Stegostoma tigrinum: one gene and its partners. The protein of the gene in region 1 purifies or fractionates together with the protein of each later gene. This does not show direct contact. Links are inferred from orthologs where the notes say so. Each region holds a gene or a part of one and is shown in the gene's direction. Other genes may lie near its edges. The genes, in order: rpp40, ribonuclease P protein subunit p25-like protein and rpp30.

What was found.
Region 2: the proteins of rpp40 (region 1) and ribonuclease P protein subunit p25-like protein purify together in Homo sapiens (affinity purification with mass spectrometry; 3 studies listed by BioGRID and IntAct, counting the BioPlex papers as one, with this or other methods). This does not show direct contact. The link is inferred for Stegostoma tigrinum from reciprocal best matches to the Homo sapiens genes RPP40 and RPP25.
Region 3: the proteins of rpp40 (region 1) and rpp30 purify together in Homo sapiens (affinity purification with mass spectrometry; 3 studies listed by BioGRID and IntAct, counting the BioPlex papers as one, with this or other methods). This does not show direct contact. The link is inferred for Stegostoma tigrinum from reciprocal best matches to the Homo sapiens genes RPP40 and RPP30.

The regions. Positions count from the first base shown.
Region 1 is NC_081355.1:11,664,483-11,668,233, forward strand, and holds the start of rpp40 (ribonuclease P protein subunit p40), read left to right. Parts: upstream 1-1,015; 5' UTR 1,016-1,169; coding exon 1,170-1,286; intron 1,287-3,751. UniProt on the Homo sapiens protein: Component of ribonuclease P, a ribonucleoprotein complex that generates mature tRNA molecules by cleaving their 5'-ends. Also a component of the MRP ribonuclease complex, which cleaves pre-rRNA sequences.
Region 2 is NC_081389.1:16,614,084-16,617,834, reverse strand, and holds the start of ribonuclease P protein subunit p25-like protein, read left to right. Parts: upstream 1-1,567; 5' UTR 1,568-2,590; coding exon 2,591-3,250; 3' UTR 3,251-3,751. UniProt on the Homo sapiens protein: Component of ribonuclease P, a ribonucleoprotein complex that generates mature tRNA molecules by cleaving their 5'-ends. Also a component of the MRP ribonuclease complex, which cleaves pre-rRNA sequences.
Region 3 is NC_081373.1:44,335,153-44,338,903, reverse strand, and holds the start of rpp30 (ribonuclease P protein subunit p30), read left to right. Parts: upstream 1-1,135; 5' UTR 1,136-1,193; exon of another isoform or gene 1,194-1,368; 5' UTR 1,369-1,540; coding exon 1,541-1,622; intron 1,623-3,751. UniProt on the Homo sapiens protein: Component of ribonuclease P, a ribonucleoprotein complex that generates mature tRNA molecules by cleaving their 5'-ends. Also a component of the MRP ribonuclease complex, which cleaves pre-rRNA sequences.

The DNA.
Region 1 (3,751 bases):
GATGAGTTGGACTGACGGTTTCTGTGCTGTACATCTCTCTGACTCTATTCAGATGATTCAATAGAATCCCTACAGTACAGAAACAGGACATTCAGCCCAACACATCCATACCACTCCTCTAAACAGCATTCCAACCAGACCCATCACCCTGTAACCCCCCTGATTTTGCACATCCCTGAACGCTATGGGCAATTTAGCATGGCCAACCCACCTAGCCTGCACATCTTTGGACTGTGGGCATTTGGAGGAAACCCACGCAGACACAGGGAGAATGTGCAAACTCCACACAGACAGTCGCCTGAGGCTGGAATCAAACCCGGGACCCTGGTGCTGTGAGGCAGCAGTGCCAAACATTGAGCCATCGTGCCACCCCGTGATTGTGACTGTGTTTGTTACTGGAATTTTTTGATGCTGTGGAAGCTCAGTCTTTGACTATGGTTAAGGTAGAGATTGATAGATTTCTAACTACCAGGGGTGCGAAGGATTTTGAGAATAGTCTGTGGGTGAAAGGCAGACAAGTGTTTGAATTGTATTAAATGCTGGAGCACGCCCGTTTCTAACTGAAGATTCATCCCCAGGACATGGCTGTGGGCAATCTTTTCACGGGCACCTCTGTTTACGAGTCAGAAAAACATTGGTGGTGGGAAACAAATGGCTCTTTGTCCTGACAGTCGAGAATTATTCGACTGGGTAGTGAAGAGAAAGGGGGAGGCCTGGAGGATGGAGCAGTTAGCTGACAGAATAGATTGATCCTTGGGGAATACATTTGACTAAAATTGGCCAATTACCTCGGTACCTTGTCCTGATTGCTACCAATAACCATGCTGGAAAATGAATGGGTTCTAAACTGTTTAAGAAAAACAGGGCTCAGCCCATTGATCATGAAAAGGTTCAATTCTTACTTTGGGAATGCGAGTGTTGACTTGAGACAGGCCCTGAACATTCAAACGCGGCTCTTCTTCCACCTTGGCCTCCAACCAGCAGAGGGTGCACTCTGCCCTCCTCTCCAGAGGCGCCAAAGGGAGCGCCAGAGCTCGCGGACGACGGGAAGAAGCGGAGAGGTTCTGAGTGGGGAAAGTCGTTAACTGGCGCGTGGAGCTGTTGCCGAGGGGAGAAGCGGTAAACGGCCCTCGCGGACGGCGCGAGGAGCTGTGGCCCAGTTTGGGAAGATGCTGCACAACGTGGAGAAATGCGCGCGGCACCTAGTGGTTAGTGAAAGATCCAACTTCAGGCACAGTAAATCAAAACACCATAAACACGTGCAGGCTCATCACTATAACTACCAGGTGGGTGATTGACAGGGGCAGGAAAACTTTATGACTACCTGGTGGGAGATTGACAGTGGGCGGAGGCTAATCGTCATGCTTCTTTGATGGGTGATTGACAGGGGGCGGAGATTAATCGCCATGTTTATCTGATGGGTGATTGACAGGGGGTGGAGTCTGATCGCCATGACTACCAGGTGGGTAATTGACAGGGAGCGGAGAACTCATTACTTTCCCTTTTATTCTAACGGAACATCGGTGCTAGGTCCACTTCTGCTTATCATTTATATAAATCATTTAGATGACAATATAGAAAGCACGGCTAGTAAGCTGCAGATGAAACCAAGATTGGTGGTATAGTCGACACTGAAGAAGGCTGTCTAAAATTACAAAGAGATCTTGATCAGTTCATTCGATGGGCAGAAGAGTGTCAAATGGGGTTTAATTTGGATAACTGCATGTATTGTATTTTGGTAAAACAAACAAACACAAAACTTATACAATTAAAATAGGAGATAACACGGTGTGAAGCTGGATGAACACAGCAGGCCAAGCAGCCCTAGAGGAACAGGAAAACTTGACGTTTTGGTTGGGAAACTGCTTCAGAAATGTTTCGGACAGAGTACAGTAGCTTCTTTAAGGAAGGCATCCTTAGAAGAGGTTTCGCAGCAGGGTTAAAATTGTTACAGAGATAGTAGGAACTGCTGATCCTGGAGAATCTGAGATAACATGGTGTGAAGCTGCATGAACACAGCAGGCCAAGCAGCATCAGAGGAGCAGGAAAGTTTGAAGTTTCGGGTCGGGACCCTCTTCATTTCTGATTGCATTCATTGCTTAGATCTGTGAGTATAGGAGTTGTGATGTTATGTTGAGGTTGTACAGGATGTTGGCGAAGGCTCTTCTAGAGTACTGTGTTCAGTTCAGGTCTCCCTGTTATAGGAAGGATATTATTAAGCTGGAAAGTGTTCGAAAGAGATTTACCAGAATGTTGCTGAGAATGGAGGGTTTGAGTTGTAAGGAGAGGCTGGATACATTTCTCACTGGGGCATAGAAGGTTGAGAGGTGACATTTAAAGAGTTTTATAAGATCATGAAGGGAGTAGATAAGGTGAATAGCAGGTGTCTTTTCTGTAGGGTGGGCGGTTTCAGGACTAGGGGCACATTCTTAAGGTGAGAGGAGAAGGATTTAAAAAAGACATGAGGGGCAATTTTGTTTCACAGAGAGTGGTTCGTGTGTTGAATGAACTTCCGAGGAGATTGTGGATGTGGGTATAGTTACGATTAAGAAATATTTAGATAAATATGTGAATAAGAAATGCTTGGAGAGATATGGGCCAAGTGCAGGCAAGTGGGACTAGTTTAGTTGGGATTATAGTCGGCATGGACTAAAGGGTCTGTTTCAGTGCTGTATAACTCTATAACTTTAAGTCTATAACTGCCCACGTCTGTGTTTGACAGGGGTACAGTTAATAAATCTTCAGCTAAATGGTAGAAAAAATGGAGGTGCCCATTGTGTTTTAGTTAGTTACCAACAATGCTTCACTTGGATTGTCTCCTGTATGGTTTCGTGATTATTTTAAACCTTTTTATGTAGGAAAGAGTCCAGGTTGTCTGGACCAATGAAGCTCCAAAGAAATATCTTTGACCCGAAATAGAAACTCTCTTTCTCTCTTTTCTGTTAGTGCCATAATATTGAAGGCTGAAACAGCAACAAGTGAATTTGTATTTATATACCACCTTTTTAACAGAATGGAACAGTACAAGAAATGGGCAATCAGGGCTGGAATGCTTGTGCTGTTTTACTATTTCAGAACCACTTCCGTCAGCAGTTAAATTCACTGTAAACGAAAATGGCATTGTGTTTGTGCATTTTTTCATGTTTGTGTGTGTTTTTGATGTTCAGAAATGACAAATGTTAAAGGTAGCAATTGAATAGTAAGTGCCCCCAGTGGGAATTACTTAGCAACATCATTAGAAGCTCCAAGTAACACCTGTTCAATGGGGTTCAATGTTGTAATGCATTTGCTAAGTTGGCTGCATTGAGTGTCTTGCTTTTACAGTCAACGATTTTGATATGAAAGCAATGGCAAACCTTGTGTAACTTTTTTTAGGGTTTTATTTGTTTTAGAGATGAATATCTTCAACAAGCTATAATGGTTGATGGCCAACTGTTGTAGTTTTTAAAAGGTAAAGATGCCATAGTCCAAATGGATGAGAGGGCTGCTGTGTCGTTAGAGAGAGATGACTGGTGGTGGTTTAACCTGGGGGTCACCACACCTGAGATGGGCCGAAGAGGTTGAAAAAGAGAGTCCTTTGTGGTAAGCTCAGCTGGCTAGCTGGCTGATTTGCGATGCAGAATTACACAATACATGTTCAGTTACCACATTGGCTGAGGTTACCACTTGATCGTGCCTTCTTAGCCTTGCACCTCACCTGAAGCATGGTGACCCTAAGGTTAAACTCACCATCAGTCATTCTCTCTAATGA
Region 2 (3,751 bases), on another chromosome or scaffold:
ATGAATGGTCTCAGTTCAAGTTCCACCCCAGGGCCTGGGGGCCATAGTCAATGGGTATCTAATGATCAAACAGGTCAGGTATGAGCCTGTAAATGCTTCTATGGATAGATGGAAACAATAGGGGAGTCCATTCTTTGGTGAGAGCTGTGTAACAGCCCTCCTAGCTTGTTCTCTGAGGCAAGTGTCCTCTATATTTCAGCTGCCACTTCCTCGATCTACTACTGTCCATATTGATTAGGCTTTTGACCCAGTAATAGTGAAGGAAAGCCCATATAGTTCAGAACTGAGAAAGGGTCACTCAACCTGAAACGTTAACTCTGACTTCTCTCCACAGACGCTGCCAGACCTGCTGAGCCTTTCCAGCAACTTCTGTTTTTGTTTCTGATTTACTGCAGTTCTTTCAGGTTTTATTGTGGCCGTATTTCAATATTGGCCATGTTGTGCATTTAACATTCTGCTTAATGGGTTGCCTTTTGTACCTCCATTCCATTTACTTGTCATTGCTGTTTTTGTTTTAGTTCTTTGTGGATCTAGCTGGTCCAGCATTATTGCCTATCCCTAACTGCCTTCCAGAAGACGGTGGTGTGTTGCTTTCACACCACTATGCTGTTAGGAAGATTTTGACTCAGTAATAGTGAAGGAGCAGTGATATATTTCTAAGTCAGGATGAAGGAGGATGATCTACTATGTATATCACATGATATCCATTCAGTATGTTGAAAACACACATAATATAGTGTCCATGAATAATATCCACAGGTTAAAGTAATTGGAAGAAGGACGGAGAGGAGTTGATGAGTACACAGTCTTAGAGTCATACAGCACCGGAAAGGGACCCTTTGGTCCAACATGTCCATGCTGACCAGTTTTCCCAAAATAAACTAGTCCCATCGGCCCATAATCCCTCAATACCTTGCCTATTCATGTACCTGTCCAATCTTTATTTAAATGTTATTATTGTACCCGCCTCTATCACTTCCTCGGGCAGTTCATGCCATATATGCACGACCCTCTATGTGAAAAAGTCACCCCTTGGGTCCCTTTTAAATCTTTCCCCTGTCACCTTAAACCTATGCCCCTCTAGTTTTGAACTCCCCAATCCTGGAGGAAAAACCTTGGCTATTCACCCCATCCTGATTTTATAAACCCCTCAGCATCCTACATTCCAGTACGTTTTTCACCCAGAGAGCGGTAGGGAACTCTCTTGTCTGAAAGGGTGATAGCGGCAGAAACCCTAATTTGAAAAAAAAAGGAATTCTGCTGGGAGGGATTTATTTTTTACTCAGCTAGCACACAGTCAAGGGGCAGAACAGCCTTCTCCTGTCGGGTAGATACTTGTCAGTCACTGCTTGGGACCGCAAAGTGCTGCAGATAGAATGAGGCAAACGCCGCAGAGAGGAGCTTGGTGCAGAAGGGGTTAAATAAATGACATTCATTCGCCGTGAATCAGGATCTCGTCACAGGGACAGTGAGGGAGAGAGATTGCACCCTGTTCAGTACAGATGCTGCAAACAGTTTTGCCTTGGCATCAGGAGAGAAACGGTCCCCCCCCCCCCCCCCGCCCCATTCTTAACCGCGCCTTGCAATTGAAAGTGGTTAAAACACAAGACGCGTTGGAAATGGGGAGGCATTGCCCCATCCTGGATTACTCTCAGGCCGGCTGTCGAGGGAGGAGATTTCGCTGAGGAACGAGCAGCCGAGGGTCGCGGGGAGAACGGGAAGTAAGTGATGGCCGCAGCTTGATGGATGGAGCTGACGCAAAGTACAAAACACAAACATTAGGGAGCTTGCATGACTGTTTGAATCCGTTGCTGCCCCCCTATCCTGGAGCATGATGGAGTGAAACTAATCTCGCCCAAATTGTTCGTTGCTTTAAAAAAAACGTTGGCCAGTTTTTTTGCAAACCAACGGCAAAAAGAAGCTGCCAGTTTTTGTTTAGAAAGCGACCTTTGCACCGTTTTGCAAAGGAACAGAAAAAGACAGTCCATCTTTGCGAAGGAATGAATTAACAACTTTGCCCAGTTTTGCAAAACAACGACAAAAAAAAGTCTTGTCAGTTTTCTGCACAGGAAGGAAAAGAGAAGGACTTTGTTCAGTTTTGCTAACGGAGGAAAATAAAACAAACGAGTCCAGTTTTGCAAAACACCGACAAAACAAGTTGTCAGCTTTTGCACAGGAAGGAAAATAGTAGGATTTTGGCCAGTTTTGCAAAGGGACAATCTTGCAGTTTTGCAAAACATCAACGACTGAAAAAGTCTTTCAGTTTTTGCAAATGAGGAAAGCAAAGAAAAACCTTGCCTAGTTTTGCAAAACAGCGACGAAAAAAAACTGTCAGCCTTTGCACAGGAGGAAAATAAAATGACTTTGCCCAGTTTTGCAAAAGGAAAACGACGAAAATAATTTTCTTGCAAAGGAAGAGCAGAGAAAAGATTTTGCGTATTTTTTGCAAACGAAGAGGACAAAATTAAAGGACTTGGATGGTTTTCCTGACTCCAAACCAGAAAACCAAGTCAGACACTTTGGGAATTTGGTGTGAGTGGTAATGGCAGGGGGTTGGTGCATGGTCTAAGAGTACATTTGCAAAAGAGAGATGCAGGGCTCCGCTGCAAGTGGCGAGATGGCAAACTATCGGAAGATCGGGCGGACGGAGGAGGAGAGCCCCCTGCCTTTCGCTGACCTGCCGGCGGACACGGTGGAGATGCGGGTGAAGGAGGGCAGCAAGATCCGCAACCTGATGGGCTTCGCGCTGGCCCGCATGGAGCTGGAGGGGACGCGGAGGATAGTATTCAGCGGTTCGGGCCGGGCGGTCACCAAGACTATCACCTGCGCCGAGATAATGAAGCGGAGGCTGGGAGGTTTGCACCAGATCACCAAGCTCCGTCCGAGGAGCCTGCGGGAGACCTGGCAGAGCAGCACCGCCGGCAGTGCGGGTGCCCTCACCCTGCTCAAGACCGTTCCGTCCGTCTGCATCCTGCTATCCAAGGAGCCCTTGGACCCGGCCGAAGCCGGCTACCAGCCTCCGGACTGCGGACCGCCGCTGTGGCCGGAGCCGGCCGCTGGTGTCCGAACGGGGCAAGAGGAGCGAGGTCTCACCCCGGTCAACCGGGGCATCAAGCGCCGCTCCCGGGGGAGCGACAGTAGCGGCGGCTGCTGCGGGGGCGAGACGGTCCCGAAGCTCAGCAAAGGGGAAGAGGCCAGTGAGGGCGCTTCTTTCCCCGGCTACACTTACCTCCCGAACCCCCAGCAGTAACACACAGACCGCTGGCACAAGTGATAGTGCCCCTTGCCCCTACACCGGGAGTGTGTGATATAACGTCTCTGATCAGGTTCATATTTTAAAAAGTCACTTCACCATGAGGGGTCCTGTTGTGGTGCAGCGGTAGTGTTCCTGGTCCTAGACCAGTGAACACCACCCACCCCCAGCCCCATCCTTGTTGGAGTTCCACCAGCTCCAGAGGGTGTGTCAGACCATCTCTGAACAGGTCGGAAAAAGATCACCTCATCATGAGCGGACCTGTTGTGGTACAGCGGTAATGTTCCTGCTCATAGACCAGTGCCCTCCCCTCCCCCATCCTTATTGGAGTCCCACCAGCTCTAGAGGGTATGTCAGACCATCTCTGAACAGATTGAAAAAAAGATCACTTTGCCATGAGGGGTCCTGTTGTGGTGCAGCTGTAGTGTTCCTCTCCTAGACCACAATCTCCCCCTCATCCTTGCTCATGTTTGACAACCTCTTGAGGATGTGTCAGAG
Region 3 (3,751 bases), on another chromosome or scaffold:
CTTCAGCAGAATCTTCTGGAATACCTGACAATTTACAAAGTTGAAGACCATTGTCAAGTTGAAAAAATATTGAGTGGTTGGCATCAGCCATTTTCTCATAGGCTGTGATTATCCTCTCAGCTATATCTCTTGATGGCCAAATTTCTCACAGATTCATGGAAGAAGCGTTTAATAAATGTAATCAGTCCGTTCAGTTTCTCCTAATGATCACTCCTTCAATGGACAGCTGGGAGATTACTCTAATTTTCACAGTTGGATTTGTCCGATTACTTGTCACAATCGTAGGGTCACTGACATTACTCAAGACTTCCTCTTCACTTCAGATCTCCAAAACATTTCACCGACAGGATGCTGGAAACGTAGAACTTGCCACCACAAAAAGTCCATGCAACGAGCAGTGATGCCCTTTAGAGGAAAGCTTGATAAAACACCAAAGGGAGAAAGGACCAGACCAATGTACGGAATGGAGAGAATAGTCTCCGGAACACTCGCACGAGTTGTGGGAAGTCACCCCCTTCAAATGTATATCAAAAGGTTTTCAACGATGTTGGTCGAGAATGTAACATTAGACAAGTGCACGGACATCTTCCGGATCTTGTCCGATTCACAAAATCCTTTAGGTCCACCCTAATCAACAACTTTGCCAGTTTACTAGAAGAGTTCAGAGTAGAACGCTATTATGTCTTAAATTCGTCAGTGTCCATGGACAGAGCAGAGTGCACTCTGTTCACCGGGACGGGAGAACACCAACAGCGGACTTACCTGGTCTATGAAGACCGGAACCCTCTGATGCAGACTGGCACTTGTTCAGGAGCGAGCACAGACCAGGTACGAAGTGACCGGCCTAATTTTCGTATATCGACCACTAGCACTCAGTTATGTTCTCTCTTCGACAGACAAAAGCATCAGGGCTGGGACTATGATCCCTTTCACATGCACATATGTAGATCACCAGAACTTAGTTGTGATCGCTGTCATACAGACAAACACTGACCGCCAGAACTCAGTTATAAATCACAGATTGAACCTAGTGGCTCCAATAGCCGCTTGCCTGCCGCGCGCTCCCAACTAACGTTCCTGCCGCGCGCTCTGGTTTTTAAATCCCACCAATAGCGAGCTGCCAGCTTCCCGGAGCATCACGGGTAGTGGGTAGTGCAGCTGCGCAGCGGTCGTGTGGTTCTTGGAAGATCGTGGTAAGGTGATAAGATGAGGAGAAAATGCTTTGTGTCCTTATTTGTAAGGATGCTAATCGGATGGGATGCGGATATGAGCCTGGGAATCATAGTATGACGATCCAGTTCAGCATGACTTTGCTTTGACGCAAGGTCGCCGTCCAGAACCTTGAACTCTGTTTCTGTCTCTTCACAGATGTTGCACAGCATAACCGAGCTTTGCCAGCATTTTCTGTTCTTTTTCGAGTTTGTCTTTGATTTAAAGTGGGATCGACAGTAGACGGTGCCTTTAGGCGAAGTGCTGCGGGCGAAAACATTGACCTTTCCAGCCCAGGAAGAGCAAACGTTTCCCCTCACGTTGTGAAAGCATGGCGCCTTTTGTAGATTTAAACATCGTCAACACTACGGACAGAAAGAGATTGCAAAGTCTAATAGAAACAGCGGCACACCGTGAGTGTTGTTTCTTCTTAAATCACGTTGCAATGTCTTAAAGCACGTTACAGTTTCACTCTTTGAATGTCTGAGAGTGGATTTAATTAATGTTTTTTAAATGTTCTCTTGTCATGTGAAATAATTATTTTATTCTTTTCGGGCGACTGACAAACCGCATTGAATGAACTGCGTAGGATTTAGTTTTAATGGTGATTCCCAACCTGGAAATTATTGTCATTATCAAATTTCGTACACAGCGCTGTTCTTCAGACACAGCAAAATCAGAGTCAATGCGAATCAGAACGAAAACTCTACTATTTCAAGACATGTCTAACACAAACGATTCAGTGATAATGGGAACTGCAGATGCTGGAGAATCCAAGATAATAAAATGTGAGGCTGGATGAACACAGCAGGCCCAGCAGCATCTCAGGAGCACAAAAGCTGACGTTTCGGGCCTAGACCCTTCATCAGGTCTAGGCCCGAAACGTCAGCTTTTGTGCTCCTGAGATGCTGCTGGGCCTGTTGTGGTCATCCAGCCTCACATTTTATTAACAGAAATGATTGAAGTGTTTCTAGGCCAGCCATCTCAGTCCTGGGAGATTGCTGTGGGATTTCCTCGGGGTAGAAATTGGAAAATCACCTGTTCAGACATATTCCGAAGCAGGTGGGGCTTCCACTTAGGCATCCTTGCCCCACAGTAGGAGCGCTTCCACTGTGCCACCAGATCCCTAACTGTTCCTAAGAGTATTAATAAACCGAATTTTCTAATCAACCTTTTCAAAGGAGTTATTGCACACCTCTAAAACCGGTGGAACTTGAACCCAGGCCTCCTGGTCCAAGGTAGAGATACTACCACTGCACCAGAAGACCCCTGACTGCTATGTGCAGAGACCTAAACCCAATTATTTTCAGATGCTTCACCAATATGAGTTCAGAATAGGGATGTTTCTTGATTGGAGATTCATTACCATCTTTGACTTCTCATATACTGAATCAGTTCTTTTTTTTTAATTAGTCCCAAAACATTTCTTTACTTGGTCCAGAGTAGAGCATTCAACCTTTATTGATGTCCCCACATTCTTTTGGTGTTTTTTACCATTGATGTGATCCAGTAAGTTGATTGAATCCTTTAGTCACAAACATTCCAGTAATATGCTCCCATATCAGACTGTAGTCTTTGCGATGACTATGGATTTTCTTAAGTTTATAATCATTGTGGCATGAAAGCTCATGCCTGATTGGTACTGGAGGCTTTGCACTTTGCATCTCTCTTTCTTCTTGCAACTGCTTATGCACCAATTTCTCATATTCCTTATTGGTCCCACTTCTTGCATTTTTTTGTCCTGCTCCCTGATGCCATCTGCAGCTAAGTGTGGATAACATTTGGGCCTGGCTGATGAGTGGCAAGCAACATAAGTGCCAGGTATCAACTTTTTCAAACAGAAGAATCCAATTGTGTCTCCATGACATTCAATGATGATACCATTGTTAGAACTCCCAGCATCAACATCCATTGACCAGAAATTCAGCTGGATCAGACATATAACTAATATGGATGGCTGAAAGAGAAAGTTGGAAAATAGGGATTCCTGCAGTGAGTAACCTACTTCCTGACTTCCCAAAGCCTAGTGGCAATCTGCAAGACACTGCTGAGGACTCTGCTGAAATGCTGTCTGCTGGCCTGGATAAACCCAGTTCCAACTACATTCAAGAAGCATGCCTACTATGCAGGAAAAAAAACAGCCTATTTACTTATCAGCCAATTTGAATAGTCAACCCCATCCACTAGGGTGCAGTGGTAGCGATGCATACCATATAAAGGACGACAGCGAAGGCAGTAGAATTATCAGAATGCAACCTGCAAGTTTTCATGCGAGTTATACACCATCCTGACTTGGAACTACATCACTGCTGCTTCACTGTTACAGGGCTAAAATCCCTAACAACACTGGGTGCACCCTCACCAGAAGGACTGCAATGATTGAAAATACCACCGACTCCACTGCAAATGCTGGGACTACTGCCATCCCACATGTCCTGTGAAAGAATGCAACAAAAAAGTCTTTTGATGTCCAGTTCTCCCTAGATCAATTTTAATCATTTGTTGGGCTAAAAAGTTCAACACAGCTGCTCAGAAGTGTCAT